Linked DNA regions of Lepisosteus oculatus. The protein of the gene in region 2 interacts with the protein of the main gene of each other region in a pairwise test. Links are inferred from orthologs where the notes say so. Each region holds a gene or a part of one and is shown on either strand. Other genes may lie near its edges. The genes, in order: lonrf1, alas1, dusp19a and zmat1.

The links.
Region 1: the proteins of alas1 (region 2) and lonrf1 interact in binary tests that used the Homo sapiens proteins (3 or more experiments, as listed by UniProt). The two-hybrid records come from large-scale screens. The link is inferred for Lepisosteus oculatus from reciprocal best matches to the Homo sapiens genes ALAS1 and LONRF1.
Region 3: the proteins of alas1 (region 2) and dusp19a interact in a two-hybrid assay, tested with the Homo sapiens proteins (3 studies listed by BioGRID and IntAct). The two-hybrid records come from large-scale screens. The link is inferred for Lepisosteus oculatus from reciprocal best matches to the Homo sapiens genes ALAS1 and DUSP19.
Region 4: the proteins of alas1 (region 2) and zmat1 interact in a two-hybrid assay, tested with the Homo sapiens proteins (2 studies listed by BioGRID). The two-hybrid records come from large-scale screens. The link is inferred for Lepisosteus oculatus from reciprocal best matches to the Homo sapiens genes ALAS1 and ZMAT1.

What each region holds. Positions count from the first base shown.
Region 1 is NC_090696.1:77,520,756-77,527,642, forward strand, and holds the start of lonrf1 (LON peptidase N-terminal domain and RING finger protein 1), read left to right. Parts: upstream 1-3,882; 5' UTR 3,883-4,073; coding exon 4,074-4,710; intron 4,711-6,887.
Region 2 is NC_090699.1:61,335,501-61,343,007, forward strand, and holds the start of alas1 (5-aminolevulinate synthase, non-specific, mitochondrial), read right to left. Parts: upstream 3,020-7,507; 5' UTR 2,987-3,019; coding exon 2,916-2,986; intron 1,921-2,915; coding exon 1,706-1,920; intron 1,334-1,705; coding exon 1,148-1,333; intron 925-1,147; coding exon 784-924; intron 522-783; coding exon 299-521; intron 196-298; coding exon 11-195; intron 1-10.
Region 3 is NC_090707.1:18,462,055-18,469,711, reverse strand, and holds the start of dusp19a (dual specificity protein phosphatase 19), read right to left. Parts: upstream 3,018-7,657; 5' UTR 2,863-3,017; coding exon 2,640-2,862; intron 1,909-2,639; coding exon 1,862-1,908; intron 1,759-1,861; coding exon 1,606-1,758; intron 1-1,605. Other genes in the region: nckap1 (nck-associated protein 1), read left to right, coding at 5,019-5,126.
Region 4 is NC_090698.1:74,562,833-74,570,508, forward strand, and holds the start of zmat1 (zinc finger matrin-type protein 1), read right to left. Parts: upstream 3,013-7,676; 5' UTR 2,987-3,012; coding exon 2,854-2,986; intron 2,450-2,853; exon of another isoform or gene 2,369-2,449; intron 1-2,368.

The DNA.
Region 1 (6,887 bases), on a different chromosome or scaffold from region 2:
TCATGCTGTTCTATTGTTATTACTATGTGTTGGAACAAGACAGAGAGGCCAATATATCCAGAAAAGCAGTTTTTGACTTCCTGTGTGTATGGATTAGGATTACCATCTGTCGATGTCAACAGTGGACCTATTTACACAGGGCAGGTGTCGAACAATAGGTGTTATTTCTGAATGGCCAGGATGTTTGTCTTCAATTTCAAACTGCTAACAGACCTTCACAAACGGGTCCCCATATTTTTAGATGAGGCTGAATAAAAGAAACTCAGGAAGGAAGAAGAAACAGCCCAGCGCTGAGGCAGCGTGTCGCAGTAGAAGGAAATGGGAAAGACAATACAGTCCAGTAAATCAAGAGGGAGAAAAGTTCCGCTCACCCTCAAAACACTCAGCAGTGTCATATAGCCATTTGCATCGCAAAAGCAGATTTGCATCCAAGAAGGTGCAGAAAAGGGTTAAGAAACAAACTTACATCACAGAATGAAATGCATGTAAATGGTGATTAATAGCTCGATAGCGGTTGGTTCTCCTTGGGCTGTTGTCCATGTTTTCATTCCCAGAACACTACTGCAATTGCATGCTCAAGGGCTCCCTCTAGAGTCACACAGAGGAATATCACCTACTAGAACTGCATGTAAAAAGCACGCCCTGCCCTCCAACGGCAAACCTGCTTCTAGTATTTTCTTTGTATATTTTAACTGCATAATACCAGCTTGTAATGAATAAGGTCTGCTGACAGAAGTGATGTGCATGCACCTTTTACACTGCTGCACAAAGGTTTTAGACGTCTCAGGAACAGTCGGCAGTTGCAATATAAAGAATGCCTCATGAGCATCGCTACTTTTCTCAAAGCCTCAGCTGGTTTACTTCTATTATGACAACTTTGATTGTTATTCATACACATTAGCTTGGTTGATGTTAAACCAGATGTTTAATTTAGCAGTGTTTAATTCACACTGATTAGATCTTCAAACACAGGGTCAAAACTCAAGGTAGACCTAGATTCTGGAAATGGACAGGCACTACGAAGTGTTTTAGGAGCTAATGAACCACATTGATCAATCAGAACGAAAAAAATTAAATTAAAGGGTTGCTTTTTTGCACTACAAAAACACAGAACTATTAAGATTAACTGTTAGCTTAAACAAAATAGGTAATATTTCAGTGTGCTTCTGCATAACGAAGGAAGAACTTTGAATGAAAAAAGCAGAACAATTCAGAATGTCTCGAACTATGCACAGCAGTGTGTATAGAAGTGATCAATAGTATAACTTATCACAGTACTACATATAAGCATTAGCATATTTAATCTATGAATTATACCTAGAACCCCTCCTGAAAGACGCTTTCACTTTGACCAAACATCAACATTTACTTCAGTGAAAAAGACAAACAGATATCTTCATGCTCAATGTTTTCACCTGCTCATTGTCTGCAGAAGGTGCAACCGATTAAGATCCAATACTAAGAAATGAGAATAGTAATAATAACAGTCACAAGCAGACCTAGACACCAACCCAGACATGAGCAGGTGCACAAGCTGACTAGTACCCAGTGACTAGTGACAACACATTCAGGCCTCCCTGACAAATTCCATCTGACTTACATTTATTAATCATTTTATATTTCCTTCTTCAGAAACAATTTCATTTGGAATGTTTTCTCATCCCGCATATTGTATTTCAAAGAATGCGACTGAATCCAGTAAATAAAGACATGCACTCCTATTATTACATAACAGACCATACAAAATGTTATAATTAACTCTTTTCTTTTTTGTTTTTCTGAATGATAGGATTTCCTCAGTCCATCAAAACCGCAAACCATCTCCGAACGAACAAGCATCTACCACTAGGTGTCCCCATGACTCTGCCACCACTGGAAAAATACATTTAAAACCGAATAAAGTAAACTTCAGATCTAATAATCATATCATTATTTTTAATGTTATTGTTTTATTATTTTAAAGTATAATACTGTTACAAATGGGGGGGTGGTTGAAAATGGAGAAAATCATTAAGTGACCAAGTGGATAAATCAATTAGTTAATTAATCAGAATCCCCAACTTGTGAAGATTTTGGCAAGGATACACCAGAGAGGTTGGAATAGTTTAATTAATTTTTTTGTTCTCTGGCATAGCTTTGGTTGAAAAGACTAATAACTCAGGCACACTTGGTTATACACATATTTATTAAGAGCGACACACAGGGAATACAGACACTAAGCAACACATTACATAGACATACTACACACAAGTTTCCCTATGTGCAAATTTACAAAGAAGGCATCCCAGTGGCTTAACATTCTGATCTCCCAGAGAATCCCAGACTGTTAACAAGTCTATAATGTAATGCCTACAAAGGCCACAAATAAGAGGCTGCCTTCTAAACTTAATAGAATATTTCCCACAGTTATATCTTACCTTGTTATGAAAACCCAGAATTAACGATAACAGGCCAGAATAAATGGAAGCCTATCTCCCTGTTCTAAAATGCAAGCACTAAAGAGGAGAGGCCGATTTTAACCAAGGGATTCTTCACTCAGAAAATCTGAGTTCCCTAAAGACTACAGAAGAGCATGCTCTCTTGGCAAGGTTGAAATACTGAGCTTCAATCTGGTCTGCTCAGCTGATCTGGGACAAAGAGCTTTATATTAATATTTATTCAAAAGGGGCAGGGGGGCTCTTTTAACGCAGCAAGCGGTGCGCCGTACTGTAACGCAGACGGCCGACATGGCAGGTTGTGCGACCCGGCTTGCCAGCGCGGTGACGTCACCGCCATTCCCTGTGAATAGCAGGGACCGCAGCCGCCGGGCTGACGGGAGATCTCCCTTTGGCTCAGCTGGCTGGGTCCCTGCTGAGTGACGCTGGAGACCCGGGTTCGGGTCCCCAGCGGTGGGGGGCCAACCTGTGGCGGCAGCGAGGGCGCATACCCACGTGAGCCCGAGAGCCCTACAATACATTAATACACTACAAAAACAAACCAAAAACCAGAACAGATCAATAAAAACAGCAAACCATCCACAGAAGTAACTGGAAGTAACAGTGTGTAGTATTTGGGAAGGGACTAGTACAGTACACGCACATTTGTAGGGGAGGTTCTGTCCAACAGACATCGTGCTGATAGGACTTCTATTCCCTTCCATTTTGTCCTGCACAGTGGGCAGCAAAAATGTCTTCCCGAAGGCAAAAGTTCAAAAGACCGAAGAAGAATATGAGCCGAGTCTTTAATGATGGCACAGGCCTTCCTCGGGGTCAGCTGGTGCGGAAAGCTTGCCGATATCTTCAGAGCTGAGGTTTACAACATTTCGAAGGCGGGTCCATGTCAAATTCCACCATGAAGCTTCACGTGAGGCATGTAAATGCGCAGTCACGTGGGCTGTACCGTAGACGCTGCGCGTTAATCGCATCTGCTGTGGCAACGCTGTCTTTCATGGGCCCTGCCAACAAGCGCCCCATGTATCTGAAATTAAACAACTCAGAAAACAAGGCAGGCTTGGGAGTCACATTACTCTACAGGTTTCTACAGACATTGTGAAAAATACAGGGGGGTGGAACAGGGCAGGGTGAGCAGTAATTGTGCAGGGCAGCTCTTATCAGCTGGTGATATAACAGTTTTTGTCAACACTGGCAGCACCAGGCTCTTCCAACTTGAACATGAAGGCTGCCAGCCCCCCTCCTCTGCCTTCCTGGCAGTGCTGTGACAGCTGAGCCACAGTGGACGGAGTCGGGGGGGGGAGGGGGTGAGGGACGCCGAGCAAGCCGGACAGGGTACCCCAGAACCTCTGCACTCCCCCCCCACCCTTTCTTCTTCTTCTTCTTCTTCTTCTTCTTCCTCCTCCTCCCCCCCGGTTGTTATGAAACCCGCACGGCGAGGTTTTGTAACCAGGGCTCCCCCCGGCAGCCAATCACAGCGCCGCCCCGCGGACCACGTGACGGCGTTTTTATATAACGGGCCGGCGCCGGGAGGCCGGCCAGCGCGATCCGCCGAGGTGTGCTGCTGTCTCCGCGTACGTGTCCCGGTAACCTCCCGGGCCACAGCCCTGCGGACGCTCGTAAGGCGCTCACCCCGCTCTGAGCATGTCAGTCCTGAACCCGGCGGCGGACGAGGCGCTGGGAGAGAGCAGCGGCGGCGGCGGCAGCAGCAGGAGGCGGCGGCCGGGACCCTCTCTCCTCCTCCTCGCCGGCCCGGCGGCCGCGGACCGGGCGCACCGGCAGGGGCTGGTCCTCCGCCGGGCCGAGGAGCTGGCGGCGCAGGACCGGCTCAAGGAGGCCCTGGACGCGTTCGCCCTGGCGCTGAGGTACGGCTCCGGCCGGCCGGAGCAGCTGGGCGCGCTGGTGGGCTGCGTCCTGCGGAACTTCAAGAAGGCGGAGGCGGCCGGGGAGCGCAGCGCCAGCCCCGCCGCCGAGCCCCTGGACTGTCCCGGCTGCGGCCGGCTCCTCTCCGAGCCGGTGACCGCCGCCTGCGGCCACACGTACTGCCGCCGGTGCCTGCAGCGGGAGGTGGTGGCCCGGTGCCGGCGCTGCGCCGAGAGGCTGGCGGCCCGGCGGGGCGACGGCGGGGCGCCCCGCACCAACGTGGCGCTCTGCCACGTCCTGGAGAAGTGGGTCCCGGGCGGGCCGAGCCGGGCCCGGCTGTGCGCGGAGATTGAGGGGCTGTGCGGGCGGCGGCGGTACGAGGAGGCCCTGGCCGTGTCCAGCGGCGGCCTCAAGGCAGGTGAGCTCAAGGGGCTGCTCTCGGCTCACACTGGCGCTGGTGGTGGTGGTGGTGTTGTTGTTACTGGGGCCTGTTCGCGGATCTGGGGTTGGGGGGAGTGTGTCGCTTCTCGGGGCGAGAAGGGGGGGGGACGGTGTCGTGGCCCTGGGATGGGGGGTGCGAGGGAGACCTGCTGACCGAGCCCCAGAAACTGCACCCCGTCTCTCCCCACGGGTGACCCCGCGCTGACCCCGCGTTGTGTAACTCCGGCGGCGCATGCGCGGCAGCGGCGGGGGTGTGCTGTTGTGTAAGCGGGGTCGTGACCCGAGAGAGGTGGTTTTATAACCCGCGGGGGGGGGCAAACACACTCGTGTGCGGAGTGCATGGGTGCCCGTGTGTTTCCCGGCAGCTGCTTGGGTGCGGGGTGGGAAACAACACGTTTCCCGTGGAGTGGGTGGGGACGGTGATGACGTGGTGTGAGGTGTGGTGAAGCGCTTTCCCGGACCACGGCTGCCACACGGGACGTGGTCGCCGCTGCGGCTGGCAGGAGGGGCGCGAACGCCGTGCTTCTGTGCGTGGGGCCGCTCTGGGGGGGACGGTGTCTCCAGTGGGGGCTCGGATGAGCGGACTGCAGCTGCCGCGTGTGAAATCCAGCGAGCTGGAGTGTAGAGAGGCTCGCAGGTGGAAGAGCACGGGGTGGACACGGGCCAGGGCAGAGGACTGGGAACACGGGCGTCACCCTGTCTAGAGCTCAGAGGGAGGAGGGTCACCCTGTCTAGAGCTCAGAGGGAGGAGGGTCACCCTGTCCAGAGTGCAGAGCCCCGCTGCAGGGAGGGGTCACCCTGTCTAGAGCTCAGAGGGAGGGGGGTCACCCTGTCTAGAGCGTGGGGCCCTGATGTCGGTATCCTATTTCTAGTAGTTTTTTGCACCATCCTCATGGTTAGCTTCCTGCTTTCTAGGTTTCATGCAGCCCGACCTGAACCCCGAAGGCCAGACTTGTTGTCTCTGTGCCTTGTGTCTCTTTCTCCTCTTGAGGCAGGGCCCCCCGTTACTCATGTTTAGTTTGTCAGAGGGAGCTTTAAGATGTATTGTTTTACTGGTGTCCGTCAGCTTTCAGTGGGACAGATGCATTATTTCAAGCTGGTCCCCCAGATCTGCTTGCACATGATTATTGTGGCCAGTAAGTTTTATCTGGCTAAAAACAAACGACAGATGTTGCATACAGTATTGAGAGAATACAGGGAGGAAGTACTGCAAATCTGTATGGAAAGGTAAGGGTTGTGCAAGCATATGTGGTATTTTATCACTGGTGTTTGTCACAGGAAATTGAAGTTAATAATTAAATGAAGTGTTTTGGTCTTATAACAGCGTGCAACAAAATAATAATTGCTTACACTTATATAGCGCTTTTCTGGACAGTCCACTCAAAGCGCTTTACAGGTAATGGTACTCCCCTCCGCCACCACCAATGTGCAGTGGGGAGGAGAGCAGAGTAATGAAGCCAATTCATAGATGGGGATTATTAGGAGGCCATGATTGATAAAGGCCAATGGGAAATTTGGCCAGGACGCCGGGGTTACACCCCTACTCTTTTCGAGAAGCGCCCTGGGATTTTTAATGACCACAGAGAGTCAGGACCTCGGTTTTACATCTCATCCGAAGGACGGCGCCTGTTTTACAGTAGAATGAAGTTCTAAGGACAGGCTGTGATGCCAGAAGTCAGGCTGAATCTCGGTTTCTTCTGCATTTTTGCACTGTCACAACACTGGAGCACTATTGTTTGTTTCCAACACAACTGTTGATGTTGATATTTAGCAGATGGCTTTGTGCGAGACTGCCTGCACAGAATCATCACAGTTTGTGCAATAGCTTGTAATGGTCAACTGTCACTTGGTCAAAGTGCGGCAGTCATCATATAATTGAAAACAAGTATTACAACAGTTGACAAGTTTCCACAGATGTGGATGATAAAGTATCTATCTGGGCAGCCGGGCAGTTCCTGCGCGAAGCAGTTCCACTCCTTAGTCATGGCTGATGAATTGACAGTAAACACCCTGGCGATGCCTCTGTGGATGTGAGGCGGTGTAGTCCTGATGAATTGCAGGTGTCGGGCTAATCTGTGAAGATGAGTTCTGGGAACACGCTGGAAGACTTCCATAGTCCTCTCCCGGCGTGTCGCAGTTCTGGGGTGTGAGAGC
Region 2 (7,507 bases):
CATTGCATACCTGGCAGCATTTTGGCCAATGTAAAAAGCGTTGAATCATTAGCCACAAAGCAAGAGGAGAAAAGCAGCGCTGCATCTTTGCCATGCAAATCTGCTAACTCATGCTCCAAATCTACATGAAATTTGCTCGTTCCAGAGATGTTACGGGTTCCTCCCGCTCCAGCGCCATGCTGCCGTAAAGTATCCCTGTGGATAAAAATATCCTTATTAGTGCTTTGCACTTTCATGTTTATCAGCAAATCGTAAGGACATGCATTCATCTTTCCCGACAAGATCTAGGAGCACTCACATGATGGAGCGAACAACACGGGGGTGCCGGCTCATGCCCAAGTAATCATTGCTGCACCACACAGAGACCTCTTTCTTCGAGGCCTGCGAACCAGAGTAATCATCCGCCATCGGAAAAGTCTCTGCTCTCCTATTCACCGTTTTGAACACCCGGTAAGTGTGATCGTTCTTCTTGGCCTCGATTTTCTTTTCAAAGAACTTGTCATAATGGAAAGTAGAAACTGCTGCGGAGGGGGGGGGGGGGGGGGGGGACAGAAGAAAATGTTGTTAGGAAATGACTATCATGCACCTTTTGCAACATCTAACTTTTTAAAGGCAACATTTCCAAAGTTCTCTATATTTAACATCTGCAATAGCTGTTGAGTAACAATTAATGGCAACATTTCAGAGGTGATCATAAAAGTCAAGAAGACGGATCAGACATGTTGCGTGACAAATAAGTATTACATTATGATCGACGATTCGCTATCGGATAGTTTTGCTTACATTTGGGCATGTTATCCTGCAGAAGGTGGGAGACCCTGGTGGGACGTTGCTTCAGTAAATTCTTCAGGAGACTGCTCTGGTCCTCCCCATCCGCCTTGGTGATGTTGACCACAGTTGGGTTTACAGGGGATTCAGCCAACTCTGCGCAGAAAAAAAATACTTGTACGATTAAAATTAAAAACCCCAATTGTCAGCACCAGGTACGTAGAACCAAAGCCAAAATACCTCCAAACAAAGGTGAGGCAAGTTATACTGCATTAGGCACTCAATCAAGCAGATCTTTATTTAATTTCTGACTGCATTAAATACGCTGAGCATAAGTTAAGAGAACAATAGAAATCAGTGATGCGACTTGAACCCTCACCTTTCCGGACAGCATGCATCTCCTGCACATCCTCCTGCAGCTCCACGCTGGCCTGCCGGAACACACTGCTGTTTCCCTGCCCCATCTCGGCAGCAAGAAAAGGGCACTTGGAAGCAGCTGCCTGGCACGCTGGGGGCACGGGGTGGCCTGGAGGCAGACTGGGTTGCTTGGGAGGCTGCCCGGAGGCTAAATTTAAACACATGCAAATCTCACGTAAACAGCTCCGCAAAAAGCTTACATTCTAGATTTTACCCTTACACGGTCCCCCGCACGGACATTCACATTTCCACTAAACAAACGCTGATAATCTAGATATTCTAGATAATCTAGAATGATCACTCACTCGTCAATTTCACTACATGTCATTTTCTATTTTTTTATCCCCCTTCACAACTGAAGTGTAACCAACTGGAATGCGTCACAGAATGATTTGTTTCAGCTTCATCTTGCAAAAGAAACTGCCCTATGACCTTCAAATGCAATATAAATAACTAAAATGTGTTAATGTACACAGTAGTTTCACACACAAACACACTGCCACCAACATCAACTGCTCACCTGAATCTGTTGGAGAGGTTTCCTTGGTCTCCTGGCACTTCGCAGCAGACGTGGAAAGGGCACGAGCAAAGGGCCTAGATGCCAGATCCATCATCACAGGACATTTCTGGGCATAGAAAACCAGGGACTTGCCAGCTTTCTGGAGGAACGTCTGCGGGACCCGCGACAGGAAGGGACAGCGGCGAATGATGGTGTCCATCTTGGATGCTCTCAACCTGAAATACCAAAAAAATAATTAACCATGGCAGTTTCAGTCTAATTCGAGACCAGCAAAACGGAAAACTGCTACAGAACACGCAAGTAACCAGAGGTCAAACATCCCTTGCCACCGTGACCAGAACAGAGTCACGCACTCTTCTATTAAACTTATCGAAACTAATTCCCAAACCACACTGTAACATACTAGCCTTCAAGAACCATAAACAACATCACTTCAGCTGCTGATCACAAGAACAGGATTTACAAAGCTTAACTGCTCCTTTTATAATTCCAGAAAGACAGTACAGTTGTGTGTCAAATGCTAATGTAGATACTTCACATTTTATAAGAAACCTAAAATCGCATACATAATTTACATTTTCATTGTAAGTACAATTACCAGTCTTTAAAACACAGGATGCCTGACTCAAGCATTTAAGTCTGAAATTAATCATTTGTAAGACACATCAGTCAACCCATGTATCAAAATGTTCTTGATCTTCTGTAAGACCGCTGGACACCAGACATCTTTACTGTGCTCCACATACATCCATACATCCAAAAAGTAAGAAAAAATCTTTTGACAGAGATCTACTCATTTTAAACAAAATATGCTGTAACAACAAAACGGCAAACTTTTAACAGGATAAAATTATTTTATCCTGGTGTCAGATAAAATAAATATTCCAGAAACAGGATTTTGTCTTCCAAAAGATAGGCTTTCTGCATCCCTGTTCTACCTGAAGGTTTCCCATTCGTTTTTTAGAGAGCCCAACACAAACAGAGTACGGAACATGGCAATATCCAGGCTTCTGTCACAAATACAGAAAAACTGCAAAAAATGGATGCAGTCCACCCTTGTATCAGCTGCTACTGACATTCCCATAACAACCACTGGACCTGACAGCTTGGAGGGACACCAGGATAGAGTATCTTAGAAATCCCAAATGCTAAAATACAAAAAACAGACGCTTCAAGAAAAATCATACTATGTAATTTAAATTTTACATACCTGGGAAGGAACATTTTAATACTGCTGATGGCTTTTTGCTTTTTTCCTAAAATTTGTAAATGGTGCCGCATCAGTCTGTTACTCAAGCTTTTAAACCCCCAAAGCAAAACTATGACAAAGCTCCACCTACTTAACTCTACGTAAGAAGCTTCTTGAGAAATCAACTGTTTCGACATACCTTAGATCAGAAAGTTTCTGGGAGGGACTATGAAATCACAAAAGTACACCAAAAAGTATCAGATACAAAAACAATGACATAGTTGGACTACAACCACAATCCAGGACTACATTAACAATATTTACATGATGTGACAAACCGTTTAAAAGAGAAAACAAAACAGGAAAGAAATTCTTAATTTAAAGGTAGAAAAAATCTCAAGGAACGATTTTCCTATAAAAACTGCCTAAAACTCAATGCTAAAGGGGAAATTTAAGAAAACACCAACAATAACCATAGCTAGTTCACAGGCATTATTAAATATAAAACATATAAACTGATAAAGATTTTTAAGTCATAGATGTATACAACCATAGCAAATTTCACATCATCTAACAGGAAAAGGTATATGAAAAAAAAGTCTTAACCTTTCTATAATGAGAAAAGGATGTTTAAGATAAGGAAGTGAAATTTTGGTTTATACCAAGCAAGGAAGTGCTCTGCTCCTTGTTGTGTACACCTTACATCCATAGTGAAACCACAAACAAAAACAGTGTAATTTGCCACAGATTTGCACAAAAGTAATAGGCACTGTAATTACAGTATGGTGTATGGGTCTCTTGTGTGAGGGATATGGGCAAATTAAGGGCTCGATTATAATACCCAGGTATACCACACACTTATATCTGCACCTACATGAGCTGAAAACCGTTGTGGCCACTGAGAGGGCACAAACTTCAAGATGCGCTCTCAGTCCTGCATATTCTAGTTCAATAAAGCGCAGTCTCTTTTTTAAAAACATAAAGTAGGCTTGTGTATGGAAGGATCACTGTCATCTGACACCTCTGATCACAGGGAAAAAAAGGGTCACGCACAACCATGTCCCTGGAGGTACGTCAAATTAATTCCTGGGGTACCTGAAAAACTGGACTGGGCAGGGCATGTCAGGCCAATGACCATTACAGCAGTGGATTAGACACTGCTACTAAGTCACTCCTACATAGGTGTGAAGCTGAGAGAACAGCTGGTTAAAGAAATTCCTTTAATAACCTACATCTACAAATTCTAATGCGTTACGGGTCAAGTTCACATAAGTAAAAAAGTGGTAAATATATCCAAGTGGTATCTTTTAGATCTTTCAGATTATTCCCAAACTCCCTGTGTGCATCAGCCATGTGCAGTGACCAAGGGGGTCCCAGGTTCAAATCCGAGGTAGGAGTGTACTGTTGTACGACTTGCTATACAAAGGACTAAATATAAACGTTAAAAAACAAGACAGACTGAACACCGAATATTGATAAATCTGGTGCTAAAAAAACTATTTATGATGCCAGAGACCCCCTGTGATTTAACAAAACAGCACGCCGAATGGATACAACTGATGGATTTAATGATAAAATATTTACCCCCAAAAAAACCTATTTACAAACTAAGTACTCTTTAAAGAATAATTTAACCACATGTAAATAGTCGTGTACCACATACGGACTATAAGCAAAATTCTTTTATTTTCTTAAACACTTATGCATAAAAAGTCATAAACTACACATTTATGACAAGCTACCAAGGCGTTATATATATATATGAATCATTTACGAAGCAGGAAACAGAAGTTCATAATGGCCTTCAAGTCGGAAAAGAATACAGTACAGTACAGTAACTCCACATTAAATCTAACAAATCAAAACGCCTACCTTTCTTACCTCTGAGATCTTCAGGCTAAACTGTATGTCTTTTCCCGTGTGTCTATGACAATGAAAAACTTATTTTTTTAAGGGAAGGAGGCTTGTTATTTTGAATAGGCTGTACCGCCGGAAAAGATGATATCTGTTGCCCTGCACTGAGGACGAACGTAAGGGCATCGCCACGCAACCGGCTTTAAGGGAACTGCGCGATCGTCACTCTCGCGAGAGCGGCGAGCTCAGCTGCCGGCCCCCGCCTTGACCCAGATTTCTGCGTCACTACGCAACAGCCTTCCTGAGCCTTAGGGCGACGGTGGTCGTTTTCAGTTCGGTTAGGAAAGATTTGTGCCATTAATATTGACAGCCAGTGTCTTAAACTCTCGCCTGTTCCGTCACAGCACGGTTGAAAGTAAAATATAAATTTGTATAGAAAATTGTTGCTAGGGGTGGTGGGGACAGGAAGCTTGTCGAAAGAACACTGGCGTTTAATACCGACGGAAACTTCATTTGAAACATTTATTTTAGGCAAAGATCGCCCTCTGGGGATTGCAATGAGAATTTCCTACCAAATACGCTGTACGGTTTATTAAATTATATCTGCCATTTAGAATACGCTCATAAGAAAGTCTTAAAATACTTAAAATCGTTTGATTGATTTATTCAACAGTTCTGTATTACTGGGTTTACAGCCTGATCATTAAGCTTCAAACTCATGTTCAGTGTTGGGAAGGTTTTTTTTTCCGGCTTTGTAACATCATGCTTAACATCCATATACATAGTTGTCCCAGTCTGTTGCAGAAAACCAAGTCTTATTTTGTTTTTTTTTTACCAGCTTTAGAAGAATTCGGCGCTTGCTGGTGTATCCAAAAAAAGTTACAAGTTTACAAGTTACAGCATGTTAAGAACTCAGCTGCTCAGATTTTAACTAAAACTGTATTGCCCATTTTAGTTTCTGTCCAGTGATCCACTGTGAATTTCAGAATAAAACCAGAAATACTGCTGCTTGCTCTTTAATCCCTCTACACCTAGAGAGAGTAAGACACTCTTTATTATCCACAAAGGGCAATTAGTTTTAAATCAGGTGACAACAAAAAGAAAACACACACATACGATAGACATAAATATGAGCAAGAGAATCATGAGCAAGGTTATGGTGGCAGGTCAAAATGAGAAACTTGAACCTGTTTGTTTTTTAAATTGGGAAATCTGTATCTGCATTCTAAGGGGAGTAGTTATAATCCATTAAACAAATATTGTGAAGGGTCTTCTAGGATGGGATATGGTTTTCTCAAGTCTTGTAAGTAACAGACATGGGATAGGGCCGAAAGATCGGCATCAATGACTTTCTGACATAGGTCTGAAAGTACTCCCCAGTTTGTCCTTACTCCTCAGCAGATCATGGCAAATGTTAAAGCAGAATAAAATAAAAGACTGGTAATGCATGATTAACAATAAATTATTAGCGTTCTCAAGGAAAAATAAACACTGTTACCCTTTTTTGAAAATGTAATTGTTGCTTGTCTCAAAATTTAACCTGCAGTCCAGAACGCTTCCTAAATACTTATATTTATCCCCCAGATCCACTGATTTGCCCCTGATGCAGGTTTGAGTGGGGTCTGAGGGTTCTTCCTGAAATCAATAGCCATGTCTTTGTTTTCTACTGCAAATAGCTTTGTTCACACCAAGTGGCAAACTCATGCACAACTGGCCCATGGCCCCACTCATCTAGTTGCAACAAACTAACGGTAACAGAGTTATCTGCAAATGTAATTGTGTGTCTTGAGTGGTGGTAACTCATCCAATCACTTATATAGCGCTTTTTTGGTAATGGGGACTCCCCTCCACCACCACCAATGTGCAGCATCCACCTGGATGCTGTGACGGCACCCATAGTGCGCCAGAACGCTCACCACACATCAGCTCTCAGTGGGGAGGAGAGCAGAGTGATGAAGCCAGTTCATAGATGGGGAGTATTAGAAGGCTTGGTAGGGGCTAATGAGAAATTTGGCCAGGACACCAGGGTTACACTCCTACTCCTTTTGAGGAACGCCCTGGGACTTTTAATGACCACAGAGAGTCAGGATCTTGGTTTAAGGTCTCATCAGAAGGACAGTGCCTTTTTACAGTATAGTGTCCCCATCGCTATATTGGAACGTTAGGACCCACATAAACCGCAGAGTGAGCGCCCCCTACTGTCTTCCAGCAGCAACCTTAGTTTTTCCCAGGAGGTCTCCCATCCAGGTACTGACCAGGCTCACCTGATCAGGCTCACCTGACCTGCTTGGAGCTCATACCTGATCAGGGTCACACCTGCACATCCTTGGTGTGAGCCTGTGGAAAAATGTAGCTTTTCAGAAAAGCCATTACTGATTCTCACTCACTAAGTTCTTTCTGTAAAGAAATCAACAACTAAGATGGCAAGATTAAGATTAAGATAATAATGCTGAAAGTAAAAAAAAATGCTACAAATAGCAACCTAACAAGACCTCCAATTCATCCTGTTGTTACTTAAATTATGTGAACTTAACAAAAAAGGGGAGCTGTGGGACTTTTAGAGACAGAATTGGAAATATGTATTTCAGAATGATGGGTAAAGTCAACCTGAACGCCATGATTTTTTCCAAATGAAAACAGGAAATAGTTTAGAAAAGAATATGACATTTATAATGATACCGTTCATGCAATAGGGGGCAGTGTGAAACAGCTACTTAAAATAGACACAGCTACTTCGTTTTAGGAGCGCTCATTCTTAG
Region 3 (7,657 bases), on a different chromosome or scaffold from region 2:
AAAAGGTAGAACCTTCATGAGAGGCATGAAGTAAGATCCAGAACCATATACAAATCGTGAAAATACCTTCATACTGCATCTACGTTTAGTAGATGTGTTGGTCAAAAACATGCATCCATCCATTTTTAACCCCTTTTTCCAATTCAGGATCACAGGAAAACCTATGCCTATGCCAGCAAGCATATTGTATTCCCTAATTACAGCAAAAAATGATACATAGCCATATTATTAAATAAAAATGAAGTTTCTCTCCCTGTCTTTGTTTGTTAGAGTTGGTAAATGTAAAGGAAATCATCACTGGTTATCTTCTCTTAATTTTCTTTAACCTCTTTAATGAAGTTGCATTTGTTTCCTCATAGACTTGGCACTTACTATACAGTATATTAAGAAAAGGTGTTTTCAACACATATGTTAGCTGAAAACACAATTTCATTGAAATAGATTATATTTTATTATACCTAAAAGGACTTGAAAAAAATTAGCCTTTAGAAAACCTCTACATTTGCAAGAGAACAATAAGATGACACACTAGTGGAGGGGAGCCCCCATTACCTGTAAAGCGCTTTGAGTGGAGTGTCCAGAAAAGCGCTATATAAGTGTAAGACATTATTATTCATTATTACTAGTATTCCATGTAATTATAATCAATAAAACATGATGTCAGAATTAATTGGATTGCAAACGAAAATGGTGACAGATCAATTTTAAGTGTAAAGTGGAAACTTATTTTTAATACATGATGTAATTATATACTGTACCTCCGTGAGTTCCTTTAATGCAATAGAGTAAGGCAGCTGATTACCATGACACTGGTTTGGCAACAAGGCTGCATGAGATACAATGGCCTGTAGAGATATGATCGTTATCTACCTACTGAATAATGGATCATGAAAACTAGCACTGCCATGTTGATATCAGGTGCAAGGAATGCTCTGCACCAGCAGACTGCGGGGTATCAAATAGGCAGTCTCCTAAAACTGACCACTCAGGAAATTACTGCAAAGATTTAGTTAACGAGATTATCAGATTTCTTCATTAAATACATTAACAAGTGGCATGGTGGCACAGTGGTTAACACAGCTACTTCACTGCCCGGGACCCTGGTTCAATTCCGGACCTGGCATCCTGCTGTATCTGCGTGGGGTGTTCTTCCCGCATTCACATGCATTTTCTCTGGGGGCTCCGGTTTCCTCCCACAGTCCAAAAACAAACTGATAGGTCAATTGATGTCTGGGACAATGGGCCTTACAGTAGGTGTGAGTGTGTGCGTGTCTGTGTCAGTCTGCCTTGTACCTGTTGCTTGCTGGGATAGGATCTGGCTCTCCTGCAACCCTGAGGCAATTAGAAAATGGATGGATGTATGGAAACACGCTGACAGGTCTCCTAGAATTTTTTTAATACATGATATACTCCTTACTTGCTTTTTAACTAATCTAGCAGTATGATTAGATGAACAAATTGTTACATACTTTCTTAAATTAAAATAAATGAAATATAACTTAAGTTTGTGAAAAGAAATTACAATCTAGAGATCTATCAAAGGGGACACCCTTTTGTTTCGTAAAGTAACATACTATTTTAATGCAACAAAAGTATAAGGCCTACCTGTGCCTTGACCTGCTCTATAAACTCTGAACATTCCTGGAAATATGAGGTAATGACAGTCTCTGGAAGATCCAGTATGGAAAGCTGCTTATAAACAAACTGATCTTGAAAAGTGTTTTCAACACCATATGCAACATTCAATATGTGTGTAACCTGAAAAAGATCAACAGTAAATGTTACTGAAAATACACTCATCGAAGGCCAATGTGTAAAGAAATTTAAATATCATACAGCAGACACTGAAAATAAATAATACCTTAAATTTCTTTAATATATCAAAGTCCTGGGCAACATCTTGTGAGGCTAGAACAAAAAAGAACACTGACATCAATGTTTTAGTTAATAATAGTTGTCATTTTCACACTAATACTGCAGTTATTATTCTAGTGTTTTAACACTAGAAGGGAAGATGGTTGGCTTATTACAGGAACCTGAGAGAGTGGACATGTATGCTACTTAGCGTAACTCATCCATCCATATTAAGTGCTTGAACAGAACTACAGTTTTCTTTAAATAATCTAAAATCAGAGCCCCGCCTCAAAAGACAAGCATTTTACAGAGCATGTTTTAAATGTTGCATCTCATATGCAATTCACAAGCTTCTCTGATAAAGGGGACTGTATTAAAAACAAGTGTAGAAAGTACCATAAAAAACATTTTTTAACTATTCATTGATAAAGGACTCATTTAAAATTAATACTTTAAGCATATACCAAAGTTCATAACCAAAAACACAACACTGAAATTAAACATCAATGTATCTTAATATACAGTAACTGATTTGTGCTTCCAGAAGCGTTTCTTACTTGCAGTGCCTTGTTTGCTATCCCTGAAGTCAACAGCTGCTCTAACTTCTTAAAATAATAAGGCATTTCCCCCATCCATAGTAAAACTTCAGAACGCTTAAGCTAAATGGAATTGAAAACTTAACACGTGGTTCAAAAATGAATTCTGACAGCTTTGCTGCTAAGTGCAATTTTTTTTTCTTAAATCTGTGTGAATGACATTTGACAATGCAAAACTATTTGTCTCACCAAGCAGTAACCAAGGTTTGACGATACCGACTTGGAGATCCAAACTGAGATCCTGAACATATCCACAAGCACCTTCGGGTTGTACGGTTTCTTCAACCACCTGCACAGTGGAGTCTTTCCACGTTTCTATTATTCTTTTCCCAGTTAAAGTCGTTACCCTGGTACATTGCTTTTTCAGTGCCGACTTTGAAAAAGCCTTTATTTCTTGAGCAAGCGAATGCATTACATGTGTGTTACAGGAACAGTTCAAAGCAGAAAAAGTCTACAGTAACTCAGCTGTCCACTTGCCGCAATGGGATTCCAATACGCTCTTGTACTTCACCGAAGATCTCATCACTTGCTATCAACTGCCTGAAAACCGAGAAGAAACCATCTGTAACCTAGATATATTTTTGGGAGCATGTAGTACTTTAAAACATCGCCACCTGTAGGTGCGGAAGTCTATGGCAGCGTACACCCCGGTTATCACCAATTGCTGCGTACTGTACTTCATTCACAGAAGAAACAGGCTAGTGTTCATTCCCAAGAACTGACTTCCTAGGCGTCACGTTTACTGAAAATGGATGGCTGGATAATTCCGAGCTTCCTCTTAGAAGAAAAACGTGTTATTTTTTTAGAAAACACAAAACACATTAAACGACCCCTCTATTAGAATCACGTTATCTTTCGTCATATTTTAAAATATTAAACATTATATTAGCACACAAATAATTCAAGTGTAATGTAAATATACCTAGACAGAATGGGTAAAACTGATTAATTTAGTGGTGAATATAAAATGAAAAAAAAAGTATCAAAATCAAGGACGCGATGAAAACAGTCTTTTTGTATTAATATATCAATATTTTTTTTATTTTTAGTGGAGATAGCACAGATAAAAAACTTGAAATAAAGGATATCCCACATAGATTTTATAAATCTATTCTATTTATTATATTCTATTGTTATAAACTTAAATATTATAAACTTCAAATATACTCAGGAATATTGGATGACATATACCATATTTTATGTTTAAACTAGATATATTTCGCTGTTTTTGTGATATACTACTGTTGTTATATACAACTGCATATTGTTTTTGTGAGACATGAGGCATTGTAAAAGTATTCACACTCTTCTAATGATATAGATATGAGAAAATAAAGCAGGAAGTAATGTACAGTAATGTACATGTATTTTGATATGAATTTGATAATGTACATTATCACATGATTGGAGATCATGGCGAGTACATAAAGTGTTATCCCTTGTAATGTCTGAAAAGGGTGCCCACCAGATGAGAGACCAGCATCATGAAAAATGCAGTTATTATTTAAATAGGGTCAAATAATCCCTGTGTTTTTTTGGAAAACTACGTGTTTATGATGCTTGAGTATTTGCATTAAATTAATTACTTTGTGCACCTTAATAAATTAGGTTTTCCATAGCGGTGTGTGTGGGGGGTATGTACTTAAAGTAACTTCAATTTTAGATTCTTGTTTGCAGTTTTTAGTATTTATTATATTGATATATTCACAATTAAGTTTATTTATGTACAATATTTAAATCCCTGATCCCTGGGTTCAATTCTGGACCTGGGTTGCTATCTGTGTGGAGTTTGTATGTTCTGTTTATGTGTTTGCATGGTTTCCTGGTGTGAGTCTGTGCGTTCCCTGCAATGGACTAGCATCCTACAGTATCTTAGATGTGTTCTGCCTTATACCCATTGCCTGCTGGTATAGATTCCAGCTCATCCATAACTCTGTATAAACCCTGTATTGGATAAAGTGGTTAGAAAATGCTTAAAAAGGTGTATGCATAACTTGACCCATGATAAAGAATTCAATAAAAAATATGATAATGGTAAGTCTGTAAAGCAGTCTTCTACTGACATTTAGGAAAATAAAGTGCCTCGGAGTTTCAGTAGTTGCTTTGCTCAGGATAAACGCGTATTGTGTTGGTGGAAAACAGAACATCTCCCAGAGAAGAAGCCAATGTAACGGACACAAGCACCACAGTCAGCGTATAAATAATCCCTACTGAAATTAAGAAGTAGTGGGCCATTTTAAAATTCGAATCATTATCTGCGGTATGAAAACACTGTGCTAGTAACAGGCTGTCAATTTGGACCACAGAGGCGGAAATCAGTGCAATGGGAGTCACGTGACATGCGTCGGTGTTGCAGGAAACGGCCTCGTTCTGAGAGTCAGGGCAACACCTAGAGAAAACAGGGAGACAGCGGAGGGCAGAGCGGGGGGGAGTTTTGCGAAGCTGTTTATCCGTAATATGGGAAGAAAATAACACTAAGACGCTCGGGGTCATAATAGGTCCGAATCACACACTACACAGCGAAGGTTTTACGGCGTGCTCCGTTTTGTGAAACACTAAGCAAGCAGCATGTCGAGGGGTGTGCTGCAGCCAAGCCAGCAGAAGCTGGCGGAGAAACTGACCATCCTCAACGACAGGGGAATCGGGATGCTCACCCGCATTTATAACATCAAAAAGGTAAGGTGGCGTTATAATGCACAGGGTGCTTGTTTTCGGGGGGGTCGCAGTCCTTACGGTAAAGTGTTCTGTGAGCATCATTGTTTCCTAGACGTTTGGAAGCCATAGCTGGCATTGCAACATGACTCTGCAGAGCCTGGGAATGGGGATATGGACAGGAAGAATGCACCCAAGGCCTGGAATGGCATGTAACACAAGCAGTGTACTGAAAAGAGGAAATTACTTCAATTCTTGTTATTGGCGGCCAGTCTGTGAATTAAATCTGGCAGATCTTTGTTTTTGGTTTTTTTTTTTCACCTGCTGGCAGAGTGTTTTCATTCTCCGCGGTATGGTGTTTAAAACGCGAGCTTAAAAGCCCCTTCGCTGTTTTGTAGTACATAGCGAGCTGTGTAGCACGTCAGCATGTAGAAGAATGGTTGGCGTTTCCAGTTGTTGTGAAGCTTTGGAGCGATGGGCAGCGAGAGTGAAACAACTTGTTTGCACCGAGACCGCAGCGTGAGACATCGCGACATAATTGTTTCTCGCTGTGTGGTTGTGTGATAGTTTTGATTGGTAAGCTCATCACGGCAATGTAGCATTAATGTGGGCTCCATAAAAAAAAAATGGACGGTAACATTTTAACTTGTCAGTTTATTTGTATAAAAATTGACATTGCCCTTCGTTGGTGATTTTAGTGCCCTAAGCCGTATTGGTGGAGAGCTGACAGCGGAGGAAAGCGTTAGACTGCGTCCTGTTTTTGTTAAATTTCATGGCTGGCAGTAGGTGACAGATTTTTTAAATCGCTCGAGTTATATATTAGTGCAAGAGGAATCAATTAATAAAATGTACACTTAACCGTGTATTTTTTTAAAGCTGTAGTTTACCCATAGATTCTTAACAATGCACCTCAATATTTTGTATCAGTGTATTTTGGAAAGCTGCTGAATTATAAAATAAGAATTGATTTAACGCCTTATAGCATTTCTGGATTAAATACCATTGGAAAAAATGCATGAAATACAGGAAATATTTATTAAGCTTTGTGGGCCGTTTCTATATTTAACATGAATATTACTCAATACTTTTAATTGAAAAACAAAACAAAAAGCACTATAATCATATAAATGGCGTAGGGCTTAAAGGAAGATAATTTACATTTGATAGAAGAGGAAGACAGACATACATCAGGTAATACTTCTATCCCGCTTAATGTGAGTGAATCAGCACATATGTAGGGTGTTGGTTTTTTTATGTCTGGAAACTTGCAGAAACTTCAGGAATACACCTGTATTGTATTGTAGTGTCCTATTTGTTTTTGTATTTCTTTTTTGGCCCATAAGTGTTTTTCCCTAATTTGTCCAGTTTTAGTGTCAAAACCTAATTTCTAACTTCTTTGCAGAACAAAGCCAGGAATTTTAGTTTTGACATGTCTGGTTTAAATCATCAGAATAAAAGTATAAAATACATGAATGAGGTAAAAGCTAATGTTCCTCTACAGATCCTCTAGGGGGAAAACGTGTCCCTGTTAACTGCAATTTACAGAAAAGAGTACATATCCTAGCAGGTTCTGTTGTGTGCATTTGTTTGTGGTCATGTGAAGTGGACCAAAATGTATTTTAAAAGGGTGTGATTGAAACAACTTATCTAAAGATAGCCTACATGTACAGAGATATTTTGTGTGTTTTCATTGTAATGTTTTCATTATTTTTGGCACTTGTAATCTATATGAATAATCAATGTGGTCTTTTTTCTATTGTTTGGTCAGAAGTTATTTTTCTTAATATTATGTATTGTTTGTCGAAAAAGTAGGCACATATTTAATGTTCAGTATAACAAAATAAAGCATAGATCCAGATATTTACCAGTCATCTTTTGCAACATTGTTTTAGATATGAGGTTGATTTTTTTTAATAGTCACATTTAGTATAGTACTCCACATCTTACTCTTACTGGAATGCAAATGGTCAAAAGACTACATAAAGCAAAGTGAGATGTTTTGTGAGTTAAAGGCTTTTGCGTACATAGGCTACCTATATGCATAAAGGTTAAAAAAAATCTTCTTTGGTCTTGCTGTTTGATTGATAAGTTAAAAAACTGAATGTCTGAAGCTTATGCCATGCCAAAAGAAACAGCACATTTCCTTGTTTTATTTACCTTAGTAATGTTATTGGTTGACATATTCTGCCATTTTGGGCACCATACTGTGTCAACTAGTAGACAGCTGCAGATTTGGATAATCCACAAGCATCACAGACACTGTATGCAAGCTTCATGCAGAAATCACATAATTGTAGCACATTTTCCAGCCAAAAGGGATCCAAGCTAATAGAACACATTAGGCAATCCATGTTATGCTTATTTTTCAGATTGTCAGTTTTGAATTTCTTGATATTGACTTTGAGAGCTTTCCTAATTTTTTAAATTTCCGGTTTATGCGTATTGAATAAGGTCTTGATTAAAAATTAGGAAAATTAAAAAAAAAAATACGTTTTTTCAAATATGTAAGGACAAACACCAAAAACAGTACTTTTGTTTAATACCTTGCTCATAAA
Region 4 (7,676 bases), on a different chromosome or scaffold from region 2:
GCTTAGTTTGGTGAACAATCTTTAATTCACACTGATCAGTCTTCAGAAACCTGATCTCAGCTTGCAGAGAGAAGACTATATTCAAAATCCTCAAAGGCACTGTAAAAGTCTATTCAGGGGAATGAACACTGAAACATGAACCAGAATGCCCAAGAAGACAATATGTAGAAGTGCTTAAAAAACTGAGAACAGGAGGTATTTCTTTATACAGAGTTGTGGAAGCATGGAACAAGCTGCCCAGCCATGTTGTTGACGCTGATACCCTTGCTTCTTGCACAAATCAGCTGGATGAGATAATGGGATTAATTATTAACTACTAAATGGGCCAAACTTTAACCTCATTTCTATCCTTTCTCATGTCCCTATGTTCTAGTTTCTAATCTGTCACAATTACCAGTCAGATCTAAATGGCTCCATGTCAGCTGGTCCTCATTAACATCACGTCAGATGTTAGATGCAGAGCGCCTCCACACAGGGTGACTGCTGAAATGTGTAAACAAAAGCCTGCTTGACCCGGGACTCTGCCTCGGGCCCTGTCACCTCTCGTCCATGAGAAGAGCATCCAAACTGAACCGAGCCCAGGCCCCAGCGCGGTGCCGTCCTGCTGCACGACAGTGGAGGTGTCATGGAAAGATAAAGGGTGACAAACAGCAGGCGCCTGACAAGAAGCGAGGAAACTGAGGACACCTTAGCACAAGTAAGAACTGCGAGGCCGTCCGACAGACGGGCTCAATGAGCAGAACGGCCCTGTCTTACTTTGTCATGTTCTGGAGAATGACGAAGCGCAACCTAACGGAAGTATCAGATTCCAGTGTTCATCGAAACTACCGGCAGTCAGGTCAAAAACAAAACAGAACCGCGCGATCCGAGGATGGACGCGATGCAGTATCAGTGGAAACTGTCGTAACTCCTATACCTCCAGTCTGGGAGCTACATGAACTTAGTTTGAAATACTACCTGTGTCTCCGCATGTTAAACATCGAAAACTCGGGAGGCAAAAATGGCATGCCGGGACCCTCTGCTCTCCTCTCCCTGGCCTTCCCAGACACGGATGTGGAGCTGTCCTGTGTGGCTCCGTGCCTGGAGACCCCGAGGGGGAATCGGGAGGGGCCACTGATAAGTGGGGTGAAGAACATTTACTATTATTGTATTTGATTCACGATGTTTGGAAAATTCAAATGCAAAACTAACTCAGCTAAATCAGATGCACATGGGGACGAGCTCCAGCCCATTCGGCGTCTCAAGGTCTGTTTGAAAAAGAAACACAGGGGCGTCCAGTCCTGGTCCAGGAGGGGGCGCTGCGTCTAAAGCAGGGGCGTCCAGTCCTGGTCCAGGAGGGGGCGCTGCGCTGCGCCTGCGGTGTGTGTGTATGTCAGGAGTCAGGCTGGCTCTATCACACTGGTCCAGGAGGGGGCGCTGCGCTGCGCCTGCAGGGCTCCAAGGGCTGATTAAAGCCACAGCACCCGCAGAGCTCAGAGAAGCTGTGGCCCTGGCCCAGTTAAACCAGTAAGCAGCTGGTTTATGTCACCGAGAGCAGAGTGGGAATGACACCTCCCAGGAGCAGGCCTGGGCACCCCTGGGTGGAGCAGCATGCACACTCCCCCTGGACAGGCCACCGCCCCCGAACCCCCAGCCCTCCTGGCCCAGCGGGGTCTCTCGAAGAGCTCGGGGACGAGCCGAAGAGAACCCGCGGGAAGCGTTACCCGAGAGCCTGCGCCCAGCCGGCCAGGGCGCGGGGAAGCCCACACGCTGCCCCTCACCGCTCACAGCCTGCACACACCCCTCGTGACCAACAAGACTGCGGAGGAGACGTCTTCCCCCGGGCGGGCGGGCTTCACACCCAGCCGGGGCTCCGGGCTCGGGCGGAGGGCCGCCCTGCCCCTTTAGGCTCCAAGTGTGCTGCTGGCATCGACGGTCCAGTTCGGACAGTCACTCGGAGAACACAAACGCGTGATCGCACACCAGCTACTTCCTTCTGCCTGCAGCCGGGGGCTCGGTTCCGACCCACGAGCAGCAGCGCCGGGAACCCTCATTCGGAACCGTGATCAATGCGCGGGCATTTCTTCACGGAGCTCAGGGGGAGACCCGGGGCACCCCAGTGAAGCTCTGGGATTTAGGCAGGCACCCCAAAAACCGCCTCATGAACACCTCGTGCGAGGACTTCAAAACTTCAACACCGGGCTGCCGGCACCTTCCTGGAGTCAGGAGAACAGACGAACTAGCGAAAACTGGTCTTTTCTTCCCCCTCCCCCAGAGCTCAAACTTTCGTCGCACCGCGCCGGTCAGGGTGCCCCCGGCAGGGCCGGATCCAGCCGAGTCCGGAACCGAACCGGACCCCAGCCCAGCGCCGCCCCCACCAGTTACCGACCCGCTGGGTCACCTGACCCCGTCCTGAGGTGATACTGTCGAGGGCGCGTACGACTGGCTTCGGTGAAGTTTTTAACGTCGTTATGTCGACCTGGTACCGCCTGCAGGGGATGACAGGAAGGCCGTGGGCACTTCTCACCCACAGACACTGAACCGACCCCCCCCGGACCGCAGCCCCGCGTCCAGATTGTGTGGGTTTGCGCGACAGACAACAGCAGCACCAGCAGCAACAACAAACATTTCTTTCCATTTTAAAGAAAAAATGAAGAGAAATCGGACCCACTCAATCTACGCAGGGCTCGGGGAGAAACGGGACCGGCTGGCCTCTGCAGTGTCTGTGGAGAAACCGCGGCGCCCGAGGGAGAAGACTCCACACTCCCCTGCGAGTCTCTCCACCCACTCCCACGGGCGGCCTGGTCCGCGGCCGTGGGGCCGCCACTGATCAAAGCTTTATTTCCTCCACTTTCACGTTCTCTCTGAACTCACCTCGGCTCTGGGCAATATTGGTGTTTTGTGTGTTTTTATGGGCCTCGGCTCCCGCTACGGAGCTCGAGTGAGAGTGACTCTGCTGCGCCAGCGCCTCCGCCAGCTGCGGGATGAAGGTGATCCCCGGCTCCATCTTTACTGCTCTGTCCTGCAGGGACACGACCGCCTGGCTGGCCGCCGCCGCAGAGCACGGTGCCCCCTGCTGGCTGGAGGGTGCAGCGCACCCTGATTCAGCTCGGTTCAATTCAACAAGCTTTATCGGCATGAGCACTGAATTGTAACGCCCTCGCCTGGTGGTGAGGAGGAAGCGCCCCTAGGCGCTCGTAGTACCGCTGGGCATGCTGGGAGTGGTAGCCGGGAAGAGTCTGAGGGTCAGCACGATGACCAGCGGCTGACCCTGCCTGTGTAAATAATGTCCTAGTAATTCTAGTACCCTGTGTAGTCCTGTAAAAGAAGAGTGTGTTGTTAGGTAATTACCACCCTAAATGTGTGTACGTGTTCGTCAGACTCCTCATGTTTGTGTAGATCCTGTGTTTGGTTTTGGTGTGGTTGTAAAATAAAGCCAGTGCTTGGTTAATCGCGTCTCCACTGTTCTTTAGTTCTGAGAAAGAACCTGCAATACGCTACATTGGTGTCAGAAGCGGGCAGAATGAACAACTCGTGGCAGACACTACCCGATTCCGTAAAGCGCCGGCTGACGCTGGAAGACGCAGAACCCATCGGCGGCGCACATAAGGAGCCTGAGCAACTCCTGGGTGCGACAGGTGGCCACAGCCCTTACCAGGGCTACCCAGTAGTGGTCCCGCCAGTGGAATTGGGGCGGCCGCCCCGGAGAGAGGATGCCCTCCCTGCCGGAGCCGATCAGCGATTCCCACACCCATCGGCGCGGGTGCGACCAGGTCGCTACGATGGTGAGGCGCCTTGGGAGACCTATAAGGCGCAGTTCCAGCTCGCGGCCCGGACGAATGGCTGGAGCCGGGCGGAAATGGCCGGCCACCTGGCGGCGGCGCTGGAAGGAGCGGCCTGCCAGGTGCTCCTGGACGTCCCGGAGGAGGACAGAGGCGACTACACGGCGCTGGCAGCAGCCCTCCAGCTGCGCTTCGGTGTAGAGGAGGCGCCGGACTTGATGCGGGAGAGGCTGGCCCTGCGGCGGCGCCGACCAGGAGAGCGACTGGGCCCGGTCGCCGCGGATGTCATGTTCCTCGCCCGCCGAGGATACCCAACTTTCCCCCGGGAGGCGCAGCGGGAGATGGCTCTCCAGGCCTTTCTCAAGGCCCTCTCGCCCGAGGAGCTGCGGCGCCACGTGCAGCTGGCCGCGCCAACATCGCTGGAGCAGGCCTTGGCCCTTGCTACACGGGCTGAGGTAGTGTTCGGGGTGACTGGCAGCGCCAGCAGACGCAGTGCGCCCTGCCGGCTGACCGAGGCGGCGACGGAGGAATCCAGCGAGGGGGAAGAGGAGCCAGCCCGTGCAGCGACCGCCGCGGAACAGCCCCGCACGCTGATTTGCGTCCGCTGCGGGAAAAGAGGACACCGAGCCCGGGTCTGCCGGGCACCCGAACCTCGCTCTCCCCGATCGGCGTCGGGAAACGGGAACGGGGCGGCTCAGCGCGGGGAAGGCCGTCCTTGAACACCTCAACCCCCGCTCCGGAGAGCGCTGTAAAAACCGGCGCCCCTCACGCCACCGTGGGGCGAGTCGGCTGTAGCCGGGGCCTGTACCTCCACTGCCGGATTGAGGACCAACCCTGCCTGGCCCTACTCGACACCGGTTCATCAGTGACCCTACTTCGGCCGGGCGTCCTCCCCGACACCGAGGGCACCAACCCCCCAGGATGGGAGGCCTCCAGCCTGCGGCTGAGGACCGTGACGGGACAGCTCGCTGCAGTCCGGGGGAAACGGGTGCTTGCCTTCCGTCTGGGTGCAGCGACGGTGCGCCACCCCTGCTACCTTGCACCCATCCAGGAGGACTGCATTCTGGGGCTGGACCTACTGCAGCGAGTGGGGGCCAGGTTGGACTTGGACCGGCAGGAGTTGGTGTGGCAGGGGGAGCGACTGCACCTGGTGGAGGGCAGGTCCGGCGAGGGCCGAGGGACGCGGGCTTGCCGGAGCCGGGGGAACAAGAGGCAGCGGCGGCGGCGGCGGCGTCAGTCGCCGGGGCAGACCAGGCCTGCGAGCCGGGGAGCGAGCGTGCCGGATCCTGCCCCTGAGTCGGCCGGGGGGCCAGACAAGGCGGCGGCGGGGGCCGAGCGTTGCGTGGAAGCGAAGCGTGCCGTTGAGGACCTCTTCCAGCGGAGCTGCGAGGGCCTCGATCAGGACCAGCGGCAGCGGCTCCAGCAGCTACTCGCCCAGAACGAAGACCTCTTTGCGGCGAGGGATGAGGACTGCACCCGCACTGCCCTGGTCCAACACGAGATCAACACCGGCGACGCTCGGCCCATCCGCATCCCACCAGGACGCATGGTCCACGCCAAGCGGACCGCCGCCGAGGAAAAGATCCGGGAGATGGCCGCAGCGGGGGTGATTGAGCCCTCCGCGAGCCCGTGGTCGGCGCCAGCCGTACTGGTTAAAAAAAAAGACGGCTCGTGGAGGTTCTGCGTCAACTACCGCAAGCTGAATGAGGTCACCCGGAAAGATTCCTACCCCCTGCCGAGGATAGATGACGCCCTGGACTACATCACCGGGTCGACCTGGTTCAGCTCCCTGGACCTCCGCTGCGGCTACTGGCAGGTACCGCTTGCTCCCGATGCTCGCCCGAAGACGGCCTTTTCCATCGGCCAGGGCCTCTGGCAGTTTACTGTCATGCCTTTTGGCCTGTGCAATGCCCCGGCGACGTTCGAGAGGCTGATGGAGAGGGTGCTGGCATCGGTTCCGCGGAACCAGTGCGTGTTATATCTGGACGATCTGCTGGTTCATGCACGGAGTTTTGACCAGGCCTTGACGAACCTCCAGGCGGTGCTGGCCTGCATCCGCCGTGCTGGCCTGAGGCTCAACCCCCGCAAGTGCGAGCTCCTGCGGCGGGAGGTGACCTTCCTGGGACATGTTGTTGGACCGCGAGGGGTGGCTACGGACCCAGGTAAGGTCGCCGCAGTGAGGGGCTGGCCGACTCCACGCACCGTCGCGGAGCTCCGCAGCTTTCTGGGGTTGGCCTCGTACTATCGGAGGTTCGTCCGGGACTTTGCCAGCATCGCCGCCCCGCTGCACCGCCTCACCGACAAGGGCCGCCGTTTTGACTGGGACTCGGGCTGTGAGACTGCCTTTGGCCGGTTGCGCGAAGCTCTGGTGGGGGCCCCCGTGCTGGCCTACCCCGACCCGCGGTTGCCGTATATTCTCGACACCGACGCGAGTGACTCGGGGGTGGGGGCGGTGTTGGCGCAGGAGGGGCCGGATGGGGAGCGCGTAGTGGCTTACTATAGCCGGGCTCTGACTAGGCCTGAGCGGAACTACTGCGTGACCCGTCGCGAGCTGCTGGCGGTGATGGCGGCGGTCCACCACTTCAGGCCGTACCTGTTCGGGACCCGGTTCCGGCTGAGGACCGACCATGCGTCCCTCACCTGGCTGCTCCACTTTAAGGAGCCAGAGGGACAGATGGCGCGATGGATAGAGATCCTGCAGGAGTACGACTTCACTGTCGTGCACCGTGCGGGGTCTCGCCATCTCAATGCCGACGCTCTCTCGCGGCGCCCCTGCGAGGCCGCGGACTGCCATCACTGCGCCCGGCGGGAGCAGCGTGAGGAGGCTGTCCGCACCGTGGCGGGGGTGAGCGCCGCGGCCACGGCCCGGGAGGGGCCGCTGGGGGTGGGCCTGCCAGACCTGGCGCAGCGTCAGGCAGCTGATCCTGACGTGGGCCCGGTGCTCCGCTGGAGGGCAGCAGGAGTGCGGCCTACACGAGAGGAGCTCGCCCCGCACCCGAAGTCCGTCAAGGCCCTCTGCGCCCTGTGGGAGGCCTTGGAGGTAAAGGACGGGGTGCTGCGCCGGGGGTGGCGGGTACCCTCCAGTGGCGAGGTACGGTGGCAGCTGGTGGTGCCTCGGTCGCTCCGCGGGGCGGTGCTCCGAGCGGTGCACGGCCAACCGGGTGTGGGGCACTTCGGCGGTAAAAAAACCCTGCAGCGTCTCCGAGGCCATTTTTATTGGGGTCTTTGCCACCGGGACGTGGAGCGGTACTGCCGAACGTGTGCGGTGTGCGTGGCGCAGAAGGGTCCCCCCGAGCGCTCTCGGGCCCCCCTCCAACAACACCAGGTGGGGGCTCCTATGGAGCGGGTGGGAGTGGACGTTTTGGGCCCGTTTCCGCGCACCGAGGCCGGGAACCGCTACGTCTTGGTGGCTATGGATTACTTTACGAAGTGGCCGGAGGCCTACGCCCTCCCGGACCAGAGTGCCCCCACGGTGGCCGATGCACTGCTGGAGGGGATGTTTGCCAGGCTGGGGGTGCCGGAGGAGTTACACAGTGACCAGGGGCGTAACTTCGAGTCCCAGGTCTTCGCCAGAGTGTGCCAGCGCCTGGGGATTACTAAGACGCGGACCACCCCGCTGCATCCCCAGAGCGACGGGTTGGTAGAGCGGTTTAATCGGACGCTCGCCACCCAGCTGGCCACCCTGGTGTCCCGGCACCAACGGGACTGGGACCGCCACCTCCCCCTTGCGCTCTGGGCGTATCGGACCGCGGTCCAGGAATCCACCGGGTGCACCCCGGCCTCGCTCATGCTGGGCCGGGAAATGCGAACACCGGTGGACCTGGTCTTCGGCCCGCCGCCCGGAGACGGGTCGGCACCGCCGGCTGGACCGGACTACGAGTGGGACCTGCGGCAGCGGATGCAGCGGGTGCACAG